3 linked regions of the Macaca mulatta genome follow. The protein of the gene in region 3 purifies or fractionates together with the protein of the main gene of each other region. This does not show direct contact. Links are inferred from orthologs where the notes say so. Each region holds a gene or a part of one and is shown on either strand. Other genes may lie near its edges. The genes, in order: USP22, TBP and TAF9B.

Evidence for each region.
Region 1: the proteins of TAF9B (region 3) and USP22 purify together in Homo sapiens (affinity purification with mass spectrometry; 3 studies listed by BioGRID and IntAct, with this or other methods). This does not show direct contact. The link is inferred for Macaca mulatta from reciprocal best matches to the Homo sapiens genes TAF9B and USP22.
Region 2: the proteins of TAF9B (region 3) and TBP purify together in Homo sapiens (affinity purification with mass spectrometry; 3 studies listed by BioGRID and IntAct, with this or other methods). This does not show direct contact. The link is inferred for Macaca mulatta from reciprocal best matches to the Homo sapiens genes TAF9B and TBP.

What each region holds. Positions count from the first base shown.
Region 1 is NC_133421.1:21,885,326-21,888,563, reverse strand, and holds part of USP22 (ubiquitin carboxyl-terminal hydrolase 22), read left to right. Parts: intron 1-605; coding exon 606-668; intron 669-1,225; coding exon 1,226-1,375; intron 1,376-2,205; coding exon 2,206-2,248; 3' UTR 2,249-3,238. UniProt on the Homo sapiens protein: Deubiquitinase that plays a role in several cellular processes including transcriptional regulation, cell cycle progression or innate immunity.
Region 2 is NC_133409.1:1,483,905-1,487,560, forward strand, and holds part of TBP (TATA-box-binding protein), read right to left. Parts: intron 2,810-3,656; coding exon 2,722-2,809; intron 403-2,721; coding exon 311-402; intron 1-310. UniProt on the Homo sapiens protein: The TFIID basal transcription factor complex plays a major role in the initiation of RNA polymerase II (Pol II)-dependent transcription.
Region 3 is NC_133426.1:84,378,880-84,382,126, forward strand, and holds part of TAF9B (transcription initiation factor TFIID subunit 9B), read right to left. Parts: intron 1,117-3,247; coding exon 1,006-1,116; intron 1-1,005. UniProt on the Homo sapiens protein: Essential for cell viability. TAF9 and TAF9B are involved in transcriptional activation as well as repression of distinct but overlapping sets of genes. May have a role in gene regulation associated with apoptosis.

The sequences.
Region 1 (3,238 bases), on a different chromosome or scaffold from region 3:
ACGATGGTCACGTACTGAGGGAGGTGACGGTACTGTTCTAAGGTCAGGGTCTCAAAGATCGTAGTGTTTCCTGCCAAACACAGCCGTGGGAAAATACAGTAAACAATGCTCATGGCTTCCTGTTCCCAGCACCGCCTCTCCCCTGTCTCACTAGGAGAGGTGCTGGTCATGAAACAATGAGCAGCAATCTTTGTCCCTTTTGAGGAGGCACCTGCCTAGGTTGTGAAATGGATTCAGCTTACCCTTTTACGCTAACCCTTTACATGTGGGAGGAAGGGCGCCTTCACCATCTACTTTGTCACAAACCAAACTCAGATTCCTCCAGATCCAGCTCCCATCACCAGCCCTATTCAGGACCCATCTTGGAAGAACCAGGGGCCACACCAGGTGGCCCCAGGACCCAGGTGTGCTCTGAGGCAGAGGCCTCCACAGCTCGAGTGTCAGTGTCCTCACGAAACCTGGGGAGATTTCTACCTGAAGCATAAAGCGCAGCCCGGTGCAGTGTCTGCATGGCCAAGCCTGGATAAGTGTCAGTTTCAGGAGAGGCTTGTATCTCTGGGCCTGATGATTTTAACGATGCTGAATACTGCTGTTGTCTGTTACAGCAAAGAGAGCAGGATGAATGGACAGTACCAGCAGCCCACAGACAGTCTCAACAATGACAACAAGTAAGTGGTGCTCAGCGGTGTGGGTGTCCGAGGCCTCGGGCCAAGAGCTGGGGTGGGTTCCTGTCTGCCCTGTAGGGCACCCCGCAGGTCCCCCACCACTGACCTGCTTCCCGCTTGGCTGCCCGCAGCTCCACTAGGAAAGGCCGCTCCACGCGGCGCCACAAATGCTGCCTCCTGTTGGAGGAGCCCAGTCCCACTCCTGGCCTCTGGCAGGAGGGAGGTTCCATCTGGAAAGCTCGATGTCCATTCTTCTTGCCTTGGGGTGGTAGAAAGAATGAAAGGCTGGGGTGTTCCAGGATCCCCACTGCTGACTGCAGTCATCACTCCCACGAGATGCTGTTCCAGGAAGCGCCTGGACCCAGGCTAGAGCCAGGGAGTGTGACCAGGCTCCCTTAGTTCCTGCAGCCTCCTGTGCATCAGCCGGAGGCCCTGGAGGTTGACAGCCAGGCCCACAGGCCTCCCACTCCTTCCCTGGGCTGCCTGGTTTCTGATGGTGATGGCCTCGAATGGCGGCGTTGAGCCACCTGCGCCCTCCCTCTCCTTTCCTCCCGCACTAGGTATTCCCTGTTTGCTGTTGTTAACCATCAAGGGACCTTGGAGAGTGGCCATTACACCAGCTTTATCCGGCAGCACAAAGACCAGTGGTTCAAGTGTGACGATGCCATCATCACCAAGGCCAGCATCAAGGACGTGCTGGACAGTGAAGGGTGCGTCCTGTCGGGTGGGAGGAAGGCCCTGTAGTGGCCACGGTGCTCTCCCCTCTGGTATAGCTGAGACCAGCCCACGTCTGAGCCTAGGACCACTCAAAGGTGTTGACCTTCATTTACCAAAGTAATGAGGCCTGTTCTGGATAGGATGCCAGCCTTGATGGTGGCAGAAGAGGTGCCTGTGCAAAGGCCCTCTCTGGAGGCATTTCCTTAGCACAGAGAACATCAAAGCAGTTGTTTTTTAACCGCGTGAACTGAACACATCAGTTCTTCTTTTTTTGTTTTTTTGAGACGGAGTTTCGCTCTTGTGGCCCAGGCTGGACTGCAATGGTGCGATCTTGGCTCACTGCAACCTCTGCCTCCTGGGTTCAAGTCAGTCTCCTGCCTCAGCCTCCCAAGTAGCTGGGATTATAGGCACCTGCCACCACGCCCGCCTAATTTTGTATTTTAGTAGAGATGGAGTTTCTCCATGTTGACCAAACTGATTTCAAACCCCTGACCTCAGGCAATCCTCCTGCCTCGGCCTCCCAAAGCATGGGGATTACAGGCGTGAGCCACCGGGCTTGGCCCACATCAGTTCTTTATCAGCTCCTCTCTTCTCTCCAGTTTCGTTCCTTCATGGCATAGAAACCTGTTGACCCTCCAGGGGTCGGGGGACCCCAGCTGCCATGAGCTCCCTGAGGGCTTTGCACTTCACATTCTGAGCAACATGGAAGCCCTCTTGAGAGGTTTTATTTGGAAGAATCTGGGATTAAGGACAGCCTTCAGGGCGATGAGGTGGATCTGGACTGGACCCACTTGAAAACTCCTCCCTGTCTTTGCCTCCACAGGTACTTGCTGTTCTATCACAAACAGTTCCTGGAATATGAGTAGCCTTATCTGTAGCTGGTCAGAAAAACAAAGGCAACGCAAGCCTCACAAAGTGATCCTCCCTGCCTCTCCCGCCTCCCGCCGCCTCCCCGGCCTGGTGACACCACCTCCCATGCAGATGTGGCCCGTCTGCACCTGGGACCCATGGGGTCGGGATGGACCACACGGACGGGGAGGCTCCCGGAGCTGCATTGAAGATGGATGAGATGAGGGGTGTGCTCTGGGTGGGAGGAGCAGCGTACACCCGTCACCAGAACATCTCCTGTATCCTCATGATATGGGGGTGCAACCGGGGCCTCACAGCACGGAGTGGCCGCCGCCTGGCATTCCCCAGCACTCGGTGTGGAAAGGCCCCTGCCTGCCGTAAGATTATGGGTCCATTGAAGCAGTAAGCTGAAGACACAGCAGCGTAGTATGTGGGACAGAGGGCCTTGCAGATGCCTTTCTGTTCATGTTTTAGTGTTAAAATACGGAGAGTATGGAATTCTTCACCTCCGTTTTCTCAGTGGCTGTGAAGCAGCCTCCAGAGCTTCGGAAGTAAGGATACTACGTCGCGTTTTCAAGCGTGTCTGTTCCGCAGGTAACTTAGCATCAAGCTGCACGTGGAAGCATCTCGCAGTTTTCTAAAGACAGGCATTTTCTTATCCCTCTCCCTCTCCTTTTTCCACAAAGGTGAATTTCATAAATGTAATACTAGTAACGTGAATGAATTACTGAGTTTATACTGAAATTTAGATAACTTCTCCTTTAGTCTTGAGTGCGAGTCTTGCTTTTTAATCGGTGCCGTTTATGTTGCTGCCCGCCCTGTGTGCCTGGCTCCTCTGGGTGCCTTGGTGTCTGCTGGGGGCTGGCAGTAAGCGCAGTGGAGGAGAGTCGTGCTGCAGCTCATCCTGTGTCTCTGGTATCTCAGGCTGGAGTAAATGCAGCCTCTGCCGGTGTCTGATAGGTTCCCTCCCGCATATTTTCTTTGTCCGCCTTCTGTCCCATTGCCTG
Region 2 (3,656 bases), on a different chromosome or scaffold from region 3:
CAGACATCCACTACCACACCTGGCTAATTTTTGTATTTTTAATAGAGATGGAGTTTCACCATGTTGGTCAGGCTGGTCTTGAACTCCTGGCCTCAAGTGATTTGCCCGCCTTGGCCTCCTGGGATTATAGGTGTGAGATACCATACCTGTCCATATCTAATTTTTAAGAAAATGAAATCACTGGTATCTACAATTAATAGAATCAACCATTTTAATAAGAAAGCAGTAATAACATGTTAAAGTGCTAACCTAATAACCTAAAAACTCGTTCACAACCCATAAACCAGAAGAATGAATTTCTTACGGCTACCTCTTGGCTCCTGTGCACACCATCTTCCCAGAACTGAAAATCAGTGCCGTGGTTCGTGGCTCTCTTATCCTCATGATTACTGCAGCAAACCGCTAAAATAGAGAGAATCATTAGTGAGGTCATGCCAAACTGCTCAATTTTGTTAGGAGAACTACACATTGACAAATCACAACTGGTAGGAAGGACATAGTACATCTAGTTATCAAAATATTTGTCCTGTATTTCTGCGTATCTGTAAAGGATTTGCATACACCACATGTAACAAATATTCCTTTGCATAAGGAGCAGAAAATAATCAATTGTGACAAAGTTATACCAAGATCTGTATGTTCTTTCACATGAGCATTCCACCAACAGAAATGTTTGCAAAATTTGGTCATGTTCTCAATAAATACCAGTGCTTCGGTTTCTACTTTATATTTGCTGCTTATCATGACTATAGTTTCTCTAATGATAAATTTTGTTTTATTAATATAAATTTTGAGGCAAATAAACCAATAAACGTTTTCTACCTTAATGGAATTAATAAATCAGATTACAAGCATACCAGTATGTAATGAAGTAAAATCCTGCTTCCAATTGGCCTTTAGAAACAATATTAATGTATTAAACACATATAAATGCAAATTAGGAAAGAAACACAGTTTTAACTTTTATTTTCTGCTTTTTATGCTTGAAACACGTTAATTCTTTCAGAAAATTTTCTTGCTAAGATGGTAACTCATGGGGAAAATATTTCAACTGTGGGTTGAATTAATGGCCTCAGTTATTAGGTACATGATAAAAAGCAAGTAATTACTTTGAAACAACTTAAATATTTTAATACATTATATTTAATTATACAATAAAAACCTATGTATTTCTAATTGAGATGACTCTGACAAACTAGATTGTTTTAACAATTTTATTTTTTTAATTTATTAATTTTTTTTTTTAGAGACAGAGTCTCACTTTGTTGCCCAGACTGGATTGCAGTTGCCCAGACTGGAGTGCAGACTGGAATCATGGCTCACTGCAGCCTCGAATTCCTGAGTTCAAGAGATCCTCCTGTCTTGGCCTCCCAAGTAGCTGAGATTATAGGTGTGTGCCACCAACCCCAGATAATTTTTTAAATTTTCTGATGAAACAAGGTCTTGCTATGTTGCCCAGGCTTGTCTCGAAGGCCTCAAGCGATCCTCCCACCTTGGCCTCCCAAAGTGCTGAGATTACAGGTCTGAGTCACCGTGCCTGGCTTTTAACAATTTTAGTTTAAAAACTGCTCTATGTCTTCCCTGTGTTTTTATCAACATCTAAAAAAGCTAGCAGTGTATAGTAGTTTATCTAAGTCCCAGGAAAAGCCTAGCTATTTTGCATTTCCAGAATTTCCTCTACTATTTCTATTGGTTAAGTATCACTTCACTTAAGATCATAAAGTAATAAAATTATGTATTCAACTAAATATTATAATAGATGAAAGATTAATTCTTAAAATGCTACATGTCATACAGACTCATTATGAGTGGTTAAAAGGAGATTTTTCAGACCCCTAGCTTAGCTATCTTTCAGATCTTAGGCATTATGTTTCAGGGGTTTTAAAATGCACCCTAAGTCCATTACTAACACTTCTCTCAACCCAGCTAATGTTTATCCAAATTACTTTGCCTACTATAGCTGGCAAACATCATCCCTATACATATACAAAATTCTTCACATGATCCCAATACAATATATATGTAACTTAGCTTGTTTTATAGACTGCTGTATTCCCAGGGATTCTGATATCACAGACACTCAATAAAAGATACAAAACAATGCACATTTTACTTTAGATCTTCATTTTGTTGGTGTCAAGGAATAAGCATAACACAAACTCTTTGATATACAGATTTTTTTTTTTTGAGATGGAGTCTTGCTCTGTTTCCAGGCTGGAATGCAATGGCGCGATCTCCACTCGCAACCTCTGTCTCCCAGGTTCAAGTGATTCTCCTGCCTCAACCTCCCAAGTAGTTGGGATTACAAGCACAAGCCACCACTCCCGGCAAATTTTTGTCTTTTTAGTAGAGACAGGGTTTCACTATGTTGGCCAGGATGGTCTTGAACTCCTGACCTCAGGTGATCCGCCCACCTCGGCCTCCCAAAGTGCTGGGATTACAGGTGTAAGCCACCAAGCCTGGCCGATTTTTCTTTCTTTTTCTTTTTTTTTTTTTTTAAGAGACAGGGTCTTGCCATGTTGCCTGGGCTGGTCTTGAAGTCCTAGGCTCAAGCAATTCTCCCTCCTCAGCCTCTCAAAGTGCTGGGATTACAGGCATTAGCCACTGTGCCTAGAGTGATCTACAGACATTTGTTACATAGCGTGAAATACATTAAAATATAGAGACATGACAGAGAAGACAAAAAAGAAAAAAAAAGAAACACATTAAAATAGATCTAACCTTGGGATTATATTCAGCATTTCGGGCACGAAGTGCAATGGTCTTTAGGTCAAGTTTACAACCAAGATTCACTGTGGATACAATATTTCTGTAAGAAATTTAAAAAGAAAACATGACTATTTAAATTACTTAACCTTCACTGGATGAGGTGTTAGAAATTATGCACACATTTGATTATTTCAACCAGGCTTTAATTTTTTAAAATTGCTCACATTTATTGTTTAACAAGTATCATGCACATGTTGAGCATTTTATATAGATTATTCCATTTAATACTTATAATGCACTATGGTAGAAGCTACCAGTATTCCCACATTCGGATAAATAAGCTGAGGCTTAAAGGTAGTGCAACTTCCTCAGGATGCACATGGCTCCCAAGTGGAGGTGCCAGGATCTGAGTCTGTCTCCAGAGCCATGCCCTTAGCCTTCTCACAGACAAACTCATTTCTCACCTGTGAGCTCTGAAAAGCCACCACCACCACCACCCTACTCCTAAGTCACTTTTTTTCTTTTTTTTTTTTGAGACGGAGTCTCGCTCTGTCGCCCAGGCTGGAGTGCAGTGGTGCATTCTCGGCTCACTGAAAGCTCCACCTCCTGGGTTCATGCCATTCTCCTGCCTCAGCCTCCCGAGTAGCTGGGTCTACAGGCGTGCGCCACCACGCCCGGCTAATTTTTTGTATTTTTAGTAGAGATGGGGTTTCACCATGTTAGCCAGCATGGTCTCGATCTCCTGACCTCATGATCCGCCCGCCTCGGCCTCTCAAAGTGCTGGGATTACAGGCATGAGCCACCACGCCTGGCAAACCTAAGTCACTATTTATTATGAAAATGAGTTCTCTCAAAGTACGTATCTTTTGAAAAACAACAGCTAAGTGTCTTTAGCAAAAAAAAAAAAAAAAAAAAAGGCAAAACCCTGCTTTCTCTTCTAATTATCT
Region 3 (3,247 bases):
GATATTCTGATCTATGTATAGATAAAGATTAAATCAAACATACCTAGTACAAGGTTGAAGAAGTTCTGTTGTATTTTAACAACCTAGAATTTCAATTTAGTCATGGGAAACTGCACTGGACTCATCATGCAACATACTACATAAAGGCCTATGTTCAAGGCCAGGAATCACTTCCCTAATAGGTCAGTATTTTACGTAAGTTATTTATTGTGTGCAGTTAAGTTTCAGAAGATGTGAAATCTAAACATACTTATTAGTAAACTGTGCTGACAGAATTCTACTTATTCCAGCTGTGTGTGTCTGTGTCTGTGTGTGTGTGTGTATCCTATGAACTAAAGGTACAGTTTCATTTGAATTTACATTTATGTTCTGGATTGCATACACATATTCATCACTAAGTTTTGTCGCTTTCTTGAGCTTTCACCTTAACTGCTTTTCCTTGAAGATGCCTTAGATTTGTGGATCCTGTTTAGTTCATGGTGTTCTTTGAAAATCTGATGAACACACTGACTACTCTTTTCCTCCTCCCCAAAACATTACACATATAGTAGTCCCCTGTTATCCGCAGTTTCAGCTACTTGTGTTCAACTGTGATCCAAAAATAGATGAGTACAGTACAGTAAGATACTTCGAGAGAGATCACATTCACATATATTTGATTACAGTATGTTGTTGTAATTGTTTTTTTATTATTGTTAATTTCTTGCTGTGCCTAATTTATAAATTAAACCTCATAATTTAGAAAGTTCATAAATTGAACTTTAAAGGTTGTAAATTTAACGGGGGGTCTTGGAACATAATCCCTCAAGATAAGGGGGGAGACTCTGTAAAATTTCACAGAATTTTAGAGGGCTCATAAGTCCCTCTGAAGAACCCTGATTTGCAGCATTACTGCCACCTTCCTGTTGGGATATTAAAACAATTTACCTCTTGCTATAGGAACACAAATGGTTCTACAATTTCAAATTATTCACAAATTCTGTTCCCTACCCCCGATCACATTACCTGGTTTCACAGGTGTGGACTGAGAAGGTGGAATCTGCACCGTAAATCTTTGGCTTGTCACTGACATTGGAGTTGCAACTTTATTTGGGACAGACACTGTTTGTGGGGTTGCTGTAGTTACAATAAACAGACCATGTTTGTTAGGTGATTTATACACATTTATATTCTACACTCAGCTTACCGCAAACTATCTTCAAAGCAAAGGAAACTAATAAAAGGTAAGGAAAAAGTCATTAAAAATAAGAGCAAAAGAACCTTAAAAAATTTACAAGCTTGCTTAGATGTTACAAAATTCAGTTTAGAATAGTGGTAAAGAATGTTGGCTCTGTAGCCTACCTGCTTGAGTTTGAATTCAGGCTCTCACCTACTAGCTGAGTGTCCCTGGGCAAGTTATTTAAATTTTTGTGCCTCAGTTTTCTCCTCTGTAAAATGGGGGATAATATCACCTATTTCATATAATTCTTGTGAAAATTAAGTAAAACTAATCCCTGTAAAACTCTTCAAACAGCATCTGTTACATAGTAAGCACTGAGGTTTAGCTGGATGAAGACATAAAGATGAGAGTTTAACCTACCAGAATAAAGACCCAGGTTTTCTATTTATTACCTTAGTTGGCACTTTTCATCTTGGTCGCTTGCTGAGAATCAGAAGATGTCATCTATGCCCATGAAACTAAAGCAGAGATCAAATATACCCCTTGAGGTCTCCAGGTGGGCCCAGAAAATTTATTCCCTTTCTGTGTTCGGATACTTAAGCAGAAAAATATCTTGGAGATAACCTAGTCTAAACCCCCAATCATCTAAATTCTACCCATTATTCCAAGGTACAACTCAAATACTACCCCGTTTTATAAAACTTTCCTTAATTTTCTCAGTTAAATGTCTTATATTCTGCCTCTGAAGTTCCCTTAATGTCATAGGAGTCATGATTATTATCTTATCTCACTGACTAGATTACAAGCTTGGTTAACATTTTTCATCCTTGTGAGCACACGGCTCTTTTACCTTGCTCCTAATAGCTACTCAACAAATGTTTGCTTAATAAATGTATTTTGCAAGACTCGAAGACTTAATATATATACTGACATCATTGCTCTCTCAAAAAATACATTTATGGAAATGTATCCATTTCCAATTTTTCATTTGGGGATGCAGGCTATCCAATACATCCCTTCCCCCTGGAACCAGCAGCCTACCCAGAGAGAGAGTTGCTGAGGACACTACAATTATCATTTCTAGAGAAAAAGGTGCAGAAAGTCTAAGGGAAGAAAGCTCAAAGGTACCGAGAAATCTGGGTTTTACTGCTTTCTCTCCCAAACACAGAAGGTGAGACCTTCCTCTAAAATATCTCCATCCCTAAGTAAGTTTTCCCATGTATTAAGGATCAGTCCAAAGAATTTGGTGAAGCGTAATGAAGCAATGTAAGTATTTTATTTTATAAAGAAAAAAGAAAATTCACAGTAGGTGAATGTTTTCTTGGCCTTAGGATTGTTAATACATTTAAGCAGGTATGGAGTTCAGGCTTTAAAACTGAACACATTAGACTGTAGATGGAGCCTCCCCAAATTGAACAGAGTAAATACTCAGGTCTTAAGGTCTATATAGATCATTTTAATTTTTTTTTTTTTGAGACAGAGTCTTACTCTGTCGCCCAAGCTGGAGTGCAGTGGCATGACCTCCGCTCACTGTAACCTCTGCCTCTTGGGTTCAAGTGATTCTCGTTCCTCAGCCTCCCGAGTAGCTGGGATTACAGGCACCCCTCACCATGCCCGGCTAATTTTTGTATTTTTAGTAGAGACGGGGTTTCACCATGTTGGCCGGGCTGGTCTTGAACTCCTGACCTCAAGTGATAGGCCCGCCTCGGCCTCCCAAAGTGCTGGGTTTACAGGCATGAGCCACCGCACCTGGCCAACTCATTTTAATTTTTTTTAAAGTTTAAAACTTGCATCTTTAGGCCTGGCGTGGTGGTTAGTATTAAAAACAGTTTTTTTCTTTGAGATCCTTAAGATTTTTGTACATCTTAATCTTCTACTGTATTCTCTTATCTATTTGGAAATTTAAATTTCTAATAAGCAGTCTACTGCCATAAGTGTGTGTGGCACCTTATAGAAGGCACAAAGTACACAGCTAAGAGTAAACTCCTGTTTTTGGTATCAGAGTTTATACCACCAACAGTGGGGGCAATGTCCAATTTTATACTCATTTGAGATCAGACGTTCCTTGTGGCTTTCTCATTTTGAAAG